Canis lupus familiaris: one gene and its partner. The protein of the gene in region 1 binds, or shares a complex with, the protein of each later gene. Links are inferred from orthologs where the notes say so. Each region holds a gene or a part of one and is shown on either strand. Other genes may lie near its edges.

Region 1 (5,178 bases):
GCTTTTCCTACCTCTCCTGCTGCACCCAGTAGCAGCTCAGGCTTTGGGGGCTCTGTGCTAAACTACCCAACTGCTTCTCCCAAGGGCTTGGAGAGGGCGGCGGAACAAGGTGCCCACCTTGGTGCCCCGTGAGTGTCCATGTGCCACTTCCTCAGGCCCCGCGGGGACGCCTGGTACTGGCTGCCAGGGCTGGTCGGTCTCTCTCTCTCTCTCTCTCTCTCCCTCCCCCCTCTATTTTCATGCTACTTCTCTCTGGACTTTCTTTTCACACTGGTGGCCTCAGCCAGACCATTAATGCCATAGGTTTTTAGTCACCTTGACCAAACAGCCATCTTTCCATTATTCTGGGTTCAGTACCAGGAGACCTCCGCATTCCTTCCTATGTGTACATCTGACTCGGGGACTCCTGTGCCTCTGGATATATTAAGGATCCATATCCTGTGGTCAGGTGGGAGAAAACAAACCTCAATGATCATAACCCTACAGTCTGACCCCAGCCTTCAAGCGCAGGGCTCTTTCACTTCTGTGAATAATCCAGTGCCTTTCAAAGCTTATATTTCACACTTCCCCAAGATTCATAAGGATCTCACCCCTTAAGTCCAACGTAGCACTGAAGACATAGAGTACCCTCGCCCCCAAGTCAGCCCCTCCTTACGCTGCCACCTCCCACCTCCGGGAGATCCTGTGCAAAGTCAGTCGAGTGGGCTTCTAGTTCTGAGGAAGCAGCCCTTAAATGCCTCCAGGCCCTCTGTATCAGCTCAAAGCCACAGCAGGAGCATATATCCCATCAGGATTTAATGGCTACAGTCCCCACCATTCAACCCGATGGCCAGGGCTGCCGATAGGAATCTTTTTCTTTCCGCATTTGATGCCTGTGGGACATCGCCCCTCCCGTATGCTTATCTGTGCTCCAGGCAGCTGGGTGTCCTCCTCCCAAGGCCCAGACAGACAGGCAGCCACACAGAGCACGGGGGCTCATCCCCCTCCTTGCCATACCCTTTTCCTACCCCTTCTCCTTCTGCTTCCCACAGAACCACGAGTTCATAGATGAGCAGATGTTTGAGCAGAACTGCATGGAGAGCTCGATGCAGAACTACCCATCCACAAGAAGTCCTTCGCTGTCCAGTCACCCGGGCCTCACGACCACCTGCTGCTCCCGTCGTAGCAAGAAGACCACACACCTGCCCAACTCCAACCTGCCAGCCACTCGCCTGCGCAGCATGCAAGAGCTCAGCACCATCCACATCCAGGGCAGTGAGCAGCCCTCCCTCACGACCAGGTGGGTGGCTTCTATCCCCATCGTTCCCCAAGGCTTGAGTCGTGCCAGTCCCAGAAGGGAACAGCCTCAGCCTTGGGAGAACTGCTAGCCCTCCCTCCCCACTCATGTGAGGCATGAGCCTCCTCCACCTTCCTTCCCATCCTTGCAAGTTAACCCAGAGGCCCTTCTTATGCTTGGGAGGATGCTGAAGCGGGTTTAGGCCCAAGGTAGGGTTAGAGACCAGAAACAGTAACTGGAAAAAAAAGAAAAAAAAATGAAACAAAGAAAACCTGTCCCGGTGCATAGAATGGATGTTTTCTCAGGGAAACAGTTTTCACAGTTGTGTTAGACATGACTTATCCCAGGCTGATCTTGGACCACAGACTGACCTTTTTCCTCCTTTCTCCACTTATACTTAGGCCACTTCCCACGACCTCCAATGAGTCGCAAGGAATTCAGGGAAAACAAAAGTCAAATGCCACAAATGATAGGTAAACAGTCTATGAGCAAGGTAAAAACGGATACTCTGAATTCCAAAGCTCCGTGTAACTTGCCTTTGCAATTGTTAGAATTACTAATTAGAAGGGAGAGCTCCGGGATGACTAGCAAAAGCAGAGCCAGAGGGCCGCAGGAGCTCGCCCTGGTTGCCATGAGCTAGACCTGCGGAGGTCGAGGGTGCGCTGGGACAATGGCAGGAAGAACCGTCACCAACTCACTCTTTTTTTATCCCAGTCGCTCCAGCCTTAATTTGAAAGCAGACGACGGACTGAGACCAAACTGCAAAACATCCCAGATCACTACAGCCATCATCAGCATCCCCACCCCCCCAGCTCTAACCCCAGAGGGGGAAAGTCGGCCAGCCCCCGCCAGCCCCGGCCCCAACACGAACATTCCTTCCATAGCCAGCAATGTTGTCAAGGTCTCTGCCTTGTAAACCATTGGACAGAGGGCCAGTGCAGGGAGTGAGGGTGAAGGGGGCTGGCCTGCAGGTGGGCAGCCACCGGCACCACTCCCCCACCTTCCCCACTCTCTCTGCCTGCCCTGTCACACCCCTAGCACTGACAACTTGTGCCTGGAAGGAAAAAGGAGGTGGCAAAGGGGCACCTGAGGTTCACCGCTGCTGGCGGGGACATGGACAACGGCCGGGCCCTGTGATCCTGCACCTCGCTGGGGCCAGAGGAAGGGAGGGTAGTAAGGGACGGGGTGGCAGTGGGTGATATGGAGGCAGCGTGCCAGGGCAGGGCCTGGAAGGGGGAGTTGCCTCAGACCCAAGAACAGCTGTTTTTGGAGACCCTGGTGAGGAAAATACAAGATCAAGGGCAGCACAGGGGCCGAGTTGTCACATGCAAAACAGGAAGAAAATATAACACTGTGTATTTAAGCACCTTTTTCAAGGCTCTTAATGGATAATATTTATTCATGGGAAAAGGTGGAAAACAAAACACCAACGGATTTTTGTGAAATATTTTTCTCCATGGACCCAATACCTTTGAACCAAAACAATGCATTTTGTGAAGGTTTTTTTTTTCTCCTTTTATAGAAGAAGCTTTTAAGCTAAGAAGTCAGTTATTGCTGAGTTCTCTCTCCATCCCCCAGGTGGGTGAGGTCACGTGAGCCTGGGCCCCCACTGCCCAGCTGACCTGCACAGAGCTGCCATCTGACCACATGGCAACACTTCCCTCCATCTGTCCTTTGTCTCTGTACCTCTCTGCTTCGCCCCCTGGCTGTTTTTCTCTGTGTCCTGCCATCCGTCTTCACATGGACCCCAGTGATCCTGAGACAAGTTAGTAGAGCCTCCTCCAGTTCCAGGCACCTGCAGGCTCGTGCCTGGGTGTTATATCTGTGTGAACACAGCTGTGGAGAGGAAAGAATAAAGTTTAGGGATGAGGGAAGTCCACTATGCCGAGCAGAGCGCTTCCCTTGTGGTTGGAACCAGTGGTGTTTGCAGTTTCCGTTTCTGGGGGGGAAAGGGAAGGACTAGATTTTTCACACTGGGATCTTGACACGGGAGAGGGGCCAATCCCTAGGAGGCACGGTTGGGTCTGTGTGTGCCAGTGAGGAGAGAGCGGAAGGACCGGGCTCATGGCTGCAGTTGGCCCTGGAGCACCTTGCTATGTACCCTTCTTTCGGGACTCACCACAAAACCCACCCAGAACTCTGCCAAGAGGCCCCATAAGCAGCTTCCTGCAGAAAGGGTAAGCTTCTGGCTCACCTTGCGACAGAGGTAACGCCCATCCAGAGGCTGCAGAAGATTCGGCTTGTGTGCTTCGTGAAGGACGCTCCACAGCGTGAAAGCAAGTAAGCCATTCTAGATGATTCTTACCTGATCTGAAAAGTGTTTGAGGTCTGAAGAGTCTTCAGGCCCAGTGCCCTGAAGGTTCCTGGAGTGGAGAATGAAGCCTGATCACCTCCATGCAAGGGAGGGAGTGGAATGTTCCTTCTGGAGAAGCTCGGAGGCCTGAGGCTAGTGAGGAGCCCTTCCCACGCTCCGTGGCTGTCCGCCCAGCTTGGGCTCCGGGGCACGCAAGCCCCTTACCCGGAGGCCGGCAGTCTCACCGCAGGCGCCAACCGCCACCCACACGACTGCCTGGACGCGTCTCCCTAGTCAGGAGCCTGCGAATACCTTCGGTGGGCTTCCCTGTGAGCCCGGCCGTGTCGACCTGTGGACAGGGAAGGTCAGTGGTCCTGCGGGCATCTAACCAGAAGGCGTGCAGGCGGGCAGGTGGGCAGGTGGGCAGACGACTCCGCGCCTTTGCCTCTATCTCGCGCTGTCCTCGCTGAGCACTCACTGCCTCCTTCCTCTGGGTCTGGCCTCAGGGACTCCCCCAACATGAGGATGGGTGGTCTGGTCCGTGAGCAGAGGAATATACGTGTACACAACCACACACACCCTCACACACACACTCACACCACACACACACACTCACACCACACACACACACACTCATACCCTACACACTCACCACACACACACCCTACATACCCTCACACACCCACACCCACTCACACCTACCGACACACTACACCCTCATACCCACTCACACCCCACACACCCACACCCTCACACACCACACACACACCCTCACACTCACTCACACCCTACACAGACACCACACACACATACACTCATACCCACACACCCTCTCACACACACACACACACACACACACACACACACACCAAACAACAATCTAAAAACATACCCGAGAACAGGTACTTAAATCCTTCACTTCGTACACATGCCCCCTTAGGGAAGGCAAAAGACTGGGTGGGGCCCCTGCAGACATGAGGCAAAGGACTAGAAACAGAACATTTCCTTTGAAAGAATGGTAATGGAATGAAGTTAGGAGTCTCAAAGTACCTAAGTTTGCATCATAAAAACTGAGGAAGGTGAGGGGTAAAGAGGGAAATAGGAACGTGGTCACATATACATACAAACTGCGGGTGTTTGAAGACAGACCATCACAGGGTTAGAATAATGACAGCATCCAACCCAGGATCCGTCCAATTGTGCACCAAGGGAACGTATTTATGCTTTCCACAAAAATTAATGAACAGATTTTTAAAATCATGTCCCAAATTTCTCATTTTTTGGCTCTAATGACCCGCTTTGTATTTCTTGAATTTCATTTCTAAATCCCACATTAAGCCAGTTCCTAAGACTTTAGGCTATCCCCTTCACCTCCATCCCCCCAATGTAGCCTTAGCCAAGGATAAGCGGCCCAGCCCACCTCTGGTCCAAGAGATGTCAACCCCGGAAAATGGTTCATCTACGCAACAGAGTACGGAACTTTTGTAAGTCAACAAAAAGGCCTAAGTGTGCTGAATCAGCTTAACAAATCTAACCTGTTGGCCAGTGACCAGGAAGAACCAGGATGTCAGAGTCTTCTAGAGGTAATGGCTTTCTGGGGCAATGACTC
Region 2 (6,753 bases), on another chromosome or scaffold:
ACGGTGACATACAATCCTTATGCTACACAAGTCTATTCATCCCACAGTTCATGAACTCCCTAACTGACTTTAAGTTGGTCCAGTCCTACCTCAGTATTCCTTCTGGACAGTGATCCCAATCATCTTAAGATCCCATTAAACCAAGTAATTTAGTAAAGGGTTCTTGTGTCTTTTCCCTGTTCTGCTGCAAGTTTCCTCCATTTATCCCTGCAAGGGGCCTTGCCCCTTATATCCACCTGCTTAAGTCCCCCTCCTTTATCCTCTGTGAGAAGTCCTGCCTCACACCCTCCACCATTTGAAGGACCATGATGTCCCCAATCCCTATCCTTTCCTCTTTGGAGACTCCTATCCTCTACCTTCTCGGTAAGGTACGTGACCTTATCCCGAGCTCTACTCTGTCAGGGATCTTGCCCTTTAAACCCTCTCCTTTGAGGGATCCTGCTCCCTCCATCTCTGTGAGGGGCCCTTCCCCTCCCCACCTCTGTAAGGCTCTTATCCCACTTCACTCACTTTTCGAAGGGTCCAGCCCCTTCCTCCCTTCCTCATACCTGGCGACAGCGACCCAGTCACCAGCTGGTAGAGGGATCTCGCTGCCTGCCCCAACGGGCTCCGGCACCTGCGGGGGCATCGGTTCATGATTCTGCTGAGAGCTCACTGGCCAAGCTCCGCCCCCAAGGCCCCAGGGCGGTCGTGTCTCCGCCCCCACTCGAGTGGGCGGAGCAGGCGGGCCGGACCTGCGGGACCAGAATCTCTGACCGCAGGGTTTTCTTCCACTCGCCGGGCCGCACAGGGGAACGCACCGCGGCCCCCATCGTCTAAAGCACCTATCCTCACCCAGTTCCTAGACTGGGCTAGGCGGGGCACGGGGGTGGGGGAGGGAAGGGACGGACTCTCCTCACAGCCTTCTCTGGGAATGTTTTCTGGATTTCTAGTGGGGAGGGTAGGCACCCACGGGTTTTGAAAAAGGAGCTGGGGGAGGGGATAATGAACCTTATTCTTTATTGCCCCTCTTCAGCCCTGCCTTCTCTGCCTGTCGCACACCTCCTCCTCCCAATTTGGCACGGAGAAGTGAAGGGGATAAGCAGGACACAGTTGTCATGGCAACTTCCCACACTTCCATACTTCTAGACCAATGGGAGAGCAAGAGGAAGGAGGAGGAACTGGGCATCGTAGTGGGGTGGCAAAGAAGAGGCTGCTCTGAATTCCTTTCTCTCATAACTTTCTGCTTTGTGTCCCTCTATCTTGCTCCAGTGGGTTCACAGATTCTCCCATTGTATGCTGGCTGCCTGCCAAATGCATGAAGAAGCTCTCCTCGCCTCAGTCTCAGTCCCAACCCTTTGCAGGACTCCTTTCTATAGGGCTGTACCCAAAATAAACCCTTCCAGGACCCACTGACGCCTTCAAACTGCTGGGACAGCCTACATGAGAGACATAGTTCCACTCCTCCTACTGGAGGATCCTGTATTTTTGGCAGAAAATTCTACATTCACGAGGCAAGCATTACCTCCAATCTCCATGCAAATTTTGCCACTTGATTTGGCGGCGACATCCCCATTTGGAATCAGCTCTGTAAGCATGGCTGCCCTACGACCACACGGGGGCGCCCTAGACTGGGGAAATGATATATCTGACCGGAGGGACCCGAGTTCAGGCCTTGGCCTGCCAGATCCCAACTCTCTACTCGTCATCCCTAGTCCTTGCTTTGCTTCCAGGTTGGACAGGACTGCCACTGATTGCTGCTTTTACTCACCACGCCACACTTCCAAGCAGCCCTGCCAGGCTTGGAAGACCAGAGGGAGTAGATCTGGGGCGGAGTGGAGTTTCAGATTCTCCCCACTCCCCACCAAAAAAAAAAAAAAAAAAAAAATCTCCAGCTTTGGGTCTGGGGGAGTGGGGGAGGTAAGTAATTGGGGTACTCCGGATGCCCTGATAAGTTAAGGACTCCCTATCAGCCTGATGGACCAAAATGACGGAAACCAAAGACTACCCCCATGTCCATCCCAGGAATCGGGCCTGCACAGGGAAGACACTTTGGGAACTAGGACCTCCTGGCAGTACCTCTGTCCTGGAGCGCTCTTCAGCACCTCGGACAACGACTCCCCTTCAGGCTTTAGCTCAAGCGTCTCAGGGCACCCAGCACTTTATCAGGGGGAGTCCCAACCTCATCTGTCTCCTGTTGTAAGATAAGCCCTCAATCGAAAGGAGAGCTCCTGGTAACACTATTTCTACTTTCCAAGTCGTGAGTGGAGCTATCTACAGGAGGATGTTGATGATGAGCATCATTCTTGACACTTGTCAACATTTGACCTATTTCCTTTGGGAGGCAGACAGCAAGAAGTAGTGTTCTCCATTTTAGAGGTGAGAAAAGTGAGACCCAGATAGCAAAAGTAATAGCCCATTCCTGCTCCCCAGGAATACAAGTGCTTCCCCACCTTCACCTAGTCTCTGATTCAAATAGCCAACTGGGGAGGGGAGGATTCCACTAAAGGGGAGAATCAATTAAAACAGGAAACAAACACTGACTAATGTGGTGTTAATGAACGCCCTGGGGCCTTACTACTCTCAAGCATCCTGAGTTGGTGAGAACACAGTTCAAAGCAGAGCTGGACGTTGGAGTCCATCCGAGTCTGAGCCACATCTAGGGCACACCTAGGGCCTGCTTGAGCCAAAAGGCTCTCCCTTCTAGGAGTCTCAGCATAGGAACTAGGGCTTCCCTAGGGTCAATGAGTATGGGAGACACTCTAAAGGCATTAGATCCTAGTTGTCATCCTCATCCTGGAGACTTAACCTCACTCCCCTAAGGACAGACAAGGATCATGGGCTCCCTCCACCTTCCCAACTTGTTTCAGACACAGGAGACAGTCTCCCTCCTCCCATCCATTGTTGGAAGTTCCCGGGCAGGCTGTACAATGAGACAGAAAACACATACGCACATGGAAATGTATACAAGGTAACACAGTCACCTACACAAACACATGGGTCTGCCTACTAAACCCAGAAATATATGCAGGCCCAGGTTACTCCACACTGTGGGAGACAGAGCCTGCCTGGGCAGCAAAGTGGTTTGGGGAGGCCACAAGGCACCTTCCAGGCCAAGTGCTTCTATTTCTGGGTCTGGAGGGGAAGAGGGGATATTTTCCTTCATGATTGGATAAAGTTCTGGGAGGGTTGTTGAGGGCTAAAGGAGCTTCAGTTGAAAGAATGATCTCTGAGTACTTTCTTGGGGGTGGGAGATGATGACCCAACACTAACCAAAAACTCCCCACAAGGGCCAGGCGTTGTTCCTGGGAGCCAGGCTGGGCAGACACTGGTGTCCCTCCTTGGGTCCACCTGGGCTGTTTGTGGAAAATGTGGGGAAGCAGTAAATGTGTGGTAAAGGCCCCCTTCTACACCAGGAAACCAGAGAGGCAGCAAGGGTAAGACATGTCAAGACACTCACAAAAGCCCACAGAAGACATTGCCTCCTACACAATCAGCATGGAATGCTGATATAATCTGCATATTCTCACAATCACAAAACACAATGCTTGCCCCAGGAGGGTCACAGTCATAAAGTCTTACAAAGAGACATACCACCATAAGGTGAAGCCCTGACACATTCTGATAGTCACATGTCACTTCATACAGAAAAGCACAAAGCACAGAGTTGCACATTGAACAGAGACATGGTCAAAACAACTTCATTAGTACAACAGAGTCCTACACAACCTTATTCAAACATCTGACAAGATCATACAATTGCACAGCCAACAAAATCACACTTACCCTATCAATATACCAAGCCTAGGGCACATGGCAACCAGCTGAGGGAGGCGCACACACATATACACACAGACACACACACAAAGAATGACAGGCGCTCACGCACGTAACACCTCCCACTCCAGACACTCTCCTAGCTTTGTGTCACACGCCCACACCTGCTGCCTCTCCCCACCTGCCTGCCTGTCCCCCCACCCCCCACGGTTCCAAAGGCTTTGGACCCCAGTGTCTTGCTGCCCAGAACAGCCTGGAGGGTGCTTAGGAATGGGACAGAGTGTGAGTAAGGGCCTGGCCAGGGTCAGAAAGGCTTAAGGGTCTGGGGGATGGAATCTACATTCCCTCCCACGACCCTTGAGCCCCTGACTCACCTGTGAGCTGGTCATAAGATCCGTCCAGGTCTCGGGAATCGGATAAACTCTCCTTGCGGCCCTGGCCCCGCATGGCCCCCGGCGCCCCCGTCCCGTCCCGCCTGGGCCGTGGGAGGGGGCGCCGGGTGGCCAAGATAGGGCGCTCACACGGCGCCCCCTGGTGGCGTTGCTCGCTGTCTGGGCTGGGGCTGAGTCTGGGATGGACAGGGGTCCCGCTGGGGGTCCTGGGGCAGGAGCAGGAAGCTTGGGCAGTAGGTGAACGCAGAGCCGGAGGCAGAGCGGAGCTAAGCACGGAGCCAGAGCCAAGCCGCCTCTCTCCTCCCGCCCCCTCCCCGCGGCTGTCACCGCCGCCTCCCCCCTTTGACGCTGCCGGGATTGGCTCCCCCTACCCCCGCCCCCTCCTCTTTGCAGCTCGGGGGAGGAACCCGGTGAAAGGGTGAGCTGGGAAGTGCGGGGAGGGAGACTGGTTTTCCAGCAACACTACCCCCAAACCTGAAGCCACGGGTTCTGGCGGTGGAGGAGGGAGCAGGACCAGAAAGGACCCACTGTGAGGACCTTCCCCGTCCCAACTCTTAGGCACTCCTTCCCCCACCATCAGCACTGGCCAGGGTAAGTCTCTGAGCTACCTGTCCAGTCTCACATCAGCCCCCATCTTCTCTGTTGTTCTCTTCCCCCATACGGGTCTCCGGGTCTCCGTGCACTCTCACCAGTGCCCACCCTGCTAGGAGGGAGTTAGGGATGCAGAGCATCTGAGAGTCTGTTTTCAGAGCAAAGGTCAGCCCAGCCTCTAAGAGGCTCATCTTAGGCCAGTGGACCACAGTTCTCTCTTCTCTCAGAAAGACCTCAACCCTCAGCCTGCAAGAGCTGTCCCTGAGCCATATTCACAATGAGGGTATCTTCTTCCCTGATCTCAGGAGCCCCATTGGCCCACTGGAAGAAAAGGAAGAGTGAGCCAGGTCAGTTTCTCAGGACTTTGTTCTTTTGTTCCCTTTCTTTTTCCCTTTCAAGTTTCCTGCCCTTCTCTCTTATCACTTGCCCTGTCCTACATTCCTTCTGTTTTCTAGAAGATTTGAGGAGTGACTGGTGTGGGGAATCCAGGTGAGGATACAGAGTAAGAAATGCCCTTGTTTGAGGCCCACCTCCCTTCCCTTAGTTTAGCTCCTTTTCTGAAACCAGGGACTATCACAGAGCTGGGCTGCCACCTGCTCTCCTAAGAATGGCTTCTGAGTGACTGAGCCACTTGTATAACCTTCCCCAGACTCTTTACTGGACTGCTAGCAAAAGAGCCCCCAACCCAAGGAAGGAGAGAGTGTTTGGAGGGCCTGAGTAGTATGGTGGCAGTATCCTATGTGGTCTTCCTGCCTGCCCAATGGCTCCTCTGGAGGAGTAACCTGCTAAGACTGAAACCTTCAGCTAAAGTGACCCCAGCACATTTAATGTCTTCAATTGGATTTAATTCCCAAACACTTGATTCAATTAACTCAGCAGGAATTGTGATAGGAATTCAGGCATAGGAGGGGGACAAGCAAGTACAAGGATTATCTTTGGGAGCAATGCCCTAGCTCTCCCCCCGGCTCTGGAAGTTTCTCCACAAACTGGCACGACCTTGGGGGCATGGACAGAGCATGGGCACCTCCTTTGGGGGTTGAATTCTAGATGATGATGGGACTCCCATCTGGAGTTCTTAAAACATATAGGTAAATGGGCCAAAAGATGTGCTTTTACAATGGAGGGCAAGGAGTCTTGCTACTGCTTCATGCCCTTGTTCATTTCATAGGAAAGGAATCTATAAGTAGCAAAGGCAAGGGAAGCTACACCTCTTTGAAGCTAACTGGCTTCCACTAGGGCCAGGAGACTTAGGAGGAGAGGGAGACAGGCAAGGGTGCCCTAGGCAGATGGGACCAGTACCTGGAGATTACTTTAACTCTGTCTTTGAGAAATGAGTTCTGAATAACAGAGATGAAGAAAAACAAATGAACAAAAAACACTAAAAAGACTGTCCCATACAAATCAATTTTTAATAACTTCAACTTGCCACCATCTTCCAGCTCCAACTCCTCTAGGGCTTATCACTGTGGAGAACACTATAGGCCCCAGGCTGAGCTACCCTATCTAGTGATCAGATGACCCAGCCCCTGATCTCTTAGGAATCTGCATCTATACACGGCAGCATGCTGGTGGATTCTCTGGAAACAGTGTGTATTTGTTCAATGTTGGAGCCACAACTCTGGTTCCCAGGAAGGCAAGAATACTAAAGAGATTTGAAGCTAAGTGGAATAGCAGCCAGGGAGGTCCCAGAACTGCTCTCATTGCCAGTTTCCTGCACTTACTCCGAGTCTTCCTATGCTGCTTGTTCCCTGCTAACCTGAGGGCTTTACAAAGTGCTTTAGAAGGGGGGAAATCTCAGAGCTGCAGCTACTCTAAAGGCAGCTGTGGGGTAGGGAAAGCCTATAGTAGTCCCATAGAGGCTGTCCAGAGGAGGAACCACGGGCCAATTTCCAAAAGGCAAGGAGACTTGCCTGTGGCTCCAGCCAGAATGTGGGTAGACAGAATGGCCTCTGTGTGATGCTCACCTGGCCCCTTTTAGATGGAGGGCACCCTGCTCCCAGCAGGTTCTCTCCCT

What was found. Proteins that work in one complex are often made in the same cells at the same time.
Region 2: the proteins of KCND3 (region 1) and KCNIP2 are in contact, whole or in part, in a cryo-EM structure (PDB 7W6S), measured with the Homo sapiens proteins. The link is inferred for Canis lupus familiaris from reciprocal best matches to the Homo sapiens genes KCND3 and KCNIP2. Residues at the interface, in NP_001365898.1 of Homo sapiens: Val5, Ala7, Trp8, Leu9, Phe11, Ala12, Arg13, Ala14, Ala15, Ala16, Ile17, Gly18, Trp19, Met20, Pro21, Val22, Ala23, Asn24, Cys25, Pro26, Met27, Pro28, Leu29, Ala30, Pro31, Asp33, Trp54, Arg60; in NP_775283.1 of Homo sapiens: Arg112, Gly113, Phe114, Asn116, Glu117, Cys118, Val123, Phe128, Ile131, Tyr132, Gln134, Phe135, Phe136, Tyr144, Leu148, Phe152, Phe165, Leu169, Ile172, Leu173, Arg180, Trp183, Ala184, Leu187, Tyr188, Met201, Met205, Ile208, Met211, His228.

Annotation. Positions count from the first base shown.
Region 1 is NC_049238.1:64,428,620-64,433,797, forward strand, and holds the end of KCND3 (potassium voltage-gated channel subfamily D member 3), read left to right. Parts: intron 1-1,031; coding exon 1,032-1,279; intron 1,280-1,677; coding exon 1,678-1,749; intron 1,750-1,990; coding exon 1,991-2,192; 3' UTR 2,193-2,761; downstream 2,762-5,178. UniProt on the Homo sapiens protein: Pore-forming (alpha) subunit of voltage-gated A-type potassium channels that mediates transmembrane potassium transport in excitable membranes, in brain and heart. In cardiomyocytes, may generate the transient outward potassium current I(To).
Region 2 is NC_049249.1:14,610,076-14,616,828, forward strand, and holds the start of KCNIP2 (Kv channel-interacting protein 2), read right to left. Parts: upstream 4,407-6,753; 5' UTR 4,204-4,406; coding exon 4,131-4,203; intron 1-4,130. UniProt on the Homo sapiens protein: Regulatory subunit of Kv4/D (Shal)-type voltage-gated rapidly inactivating A-type potassium channels. Modulates channel density, inactivation kinetics and rate of recovery from inactivation in a calcium-dependent and isoform-specific manner.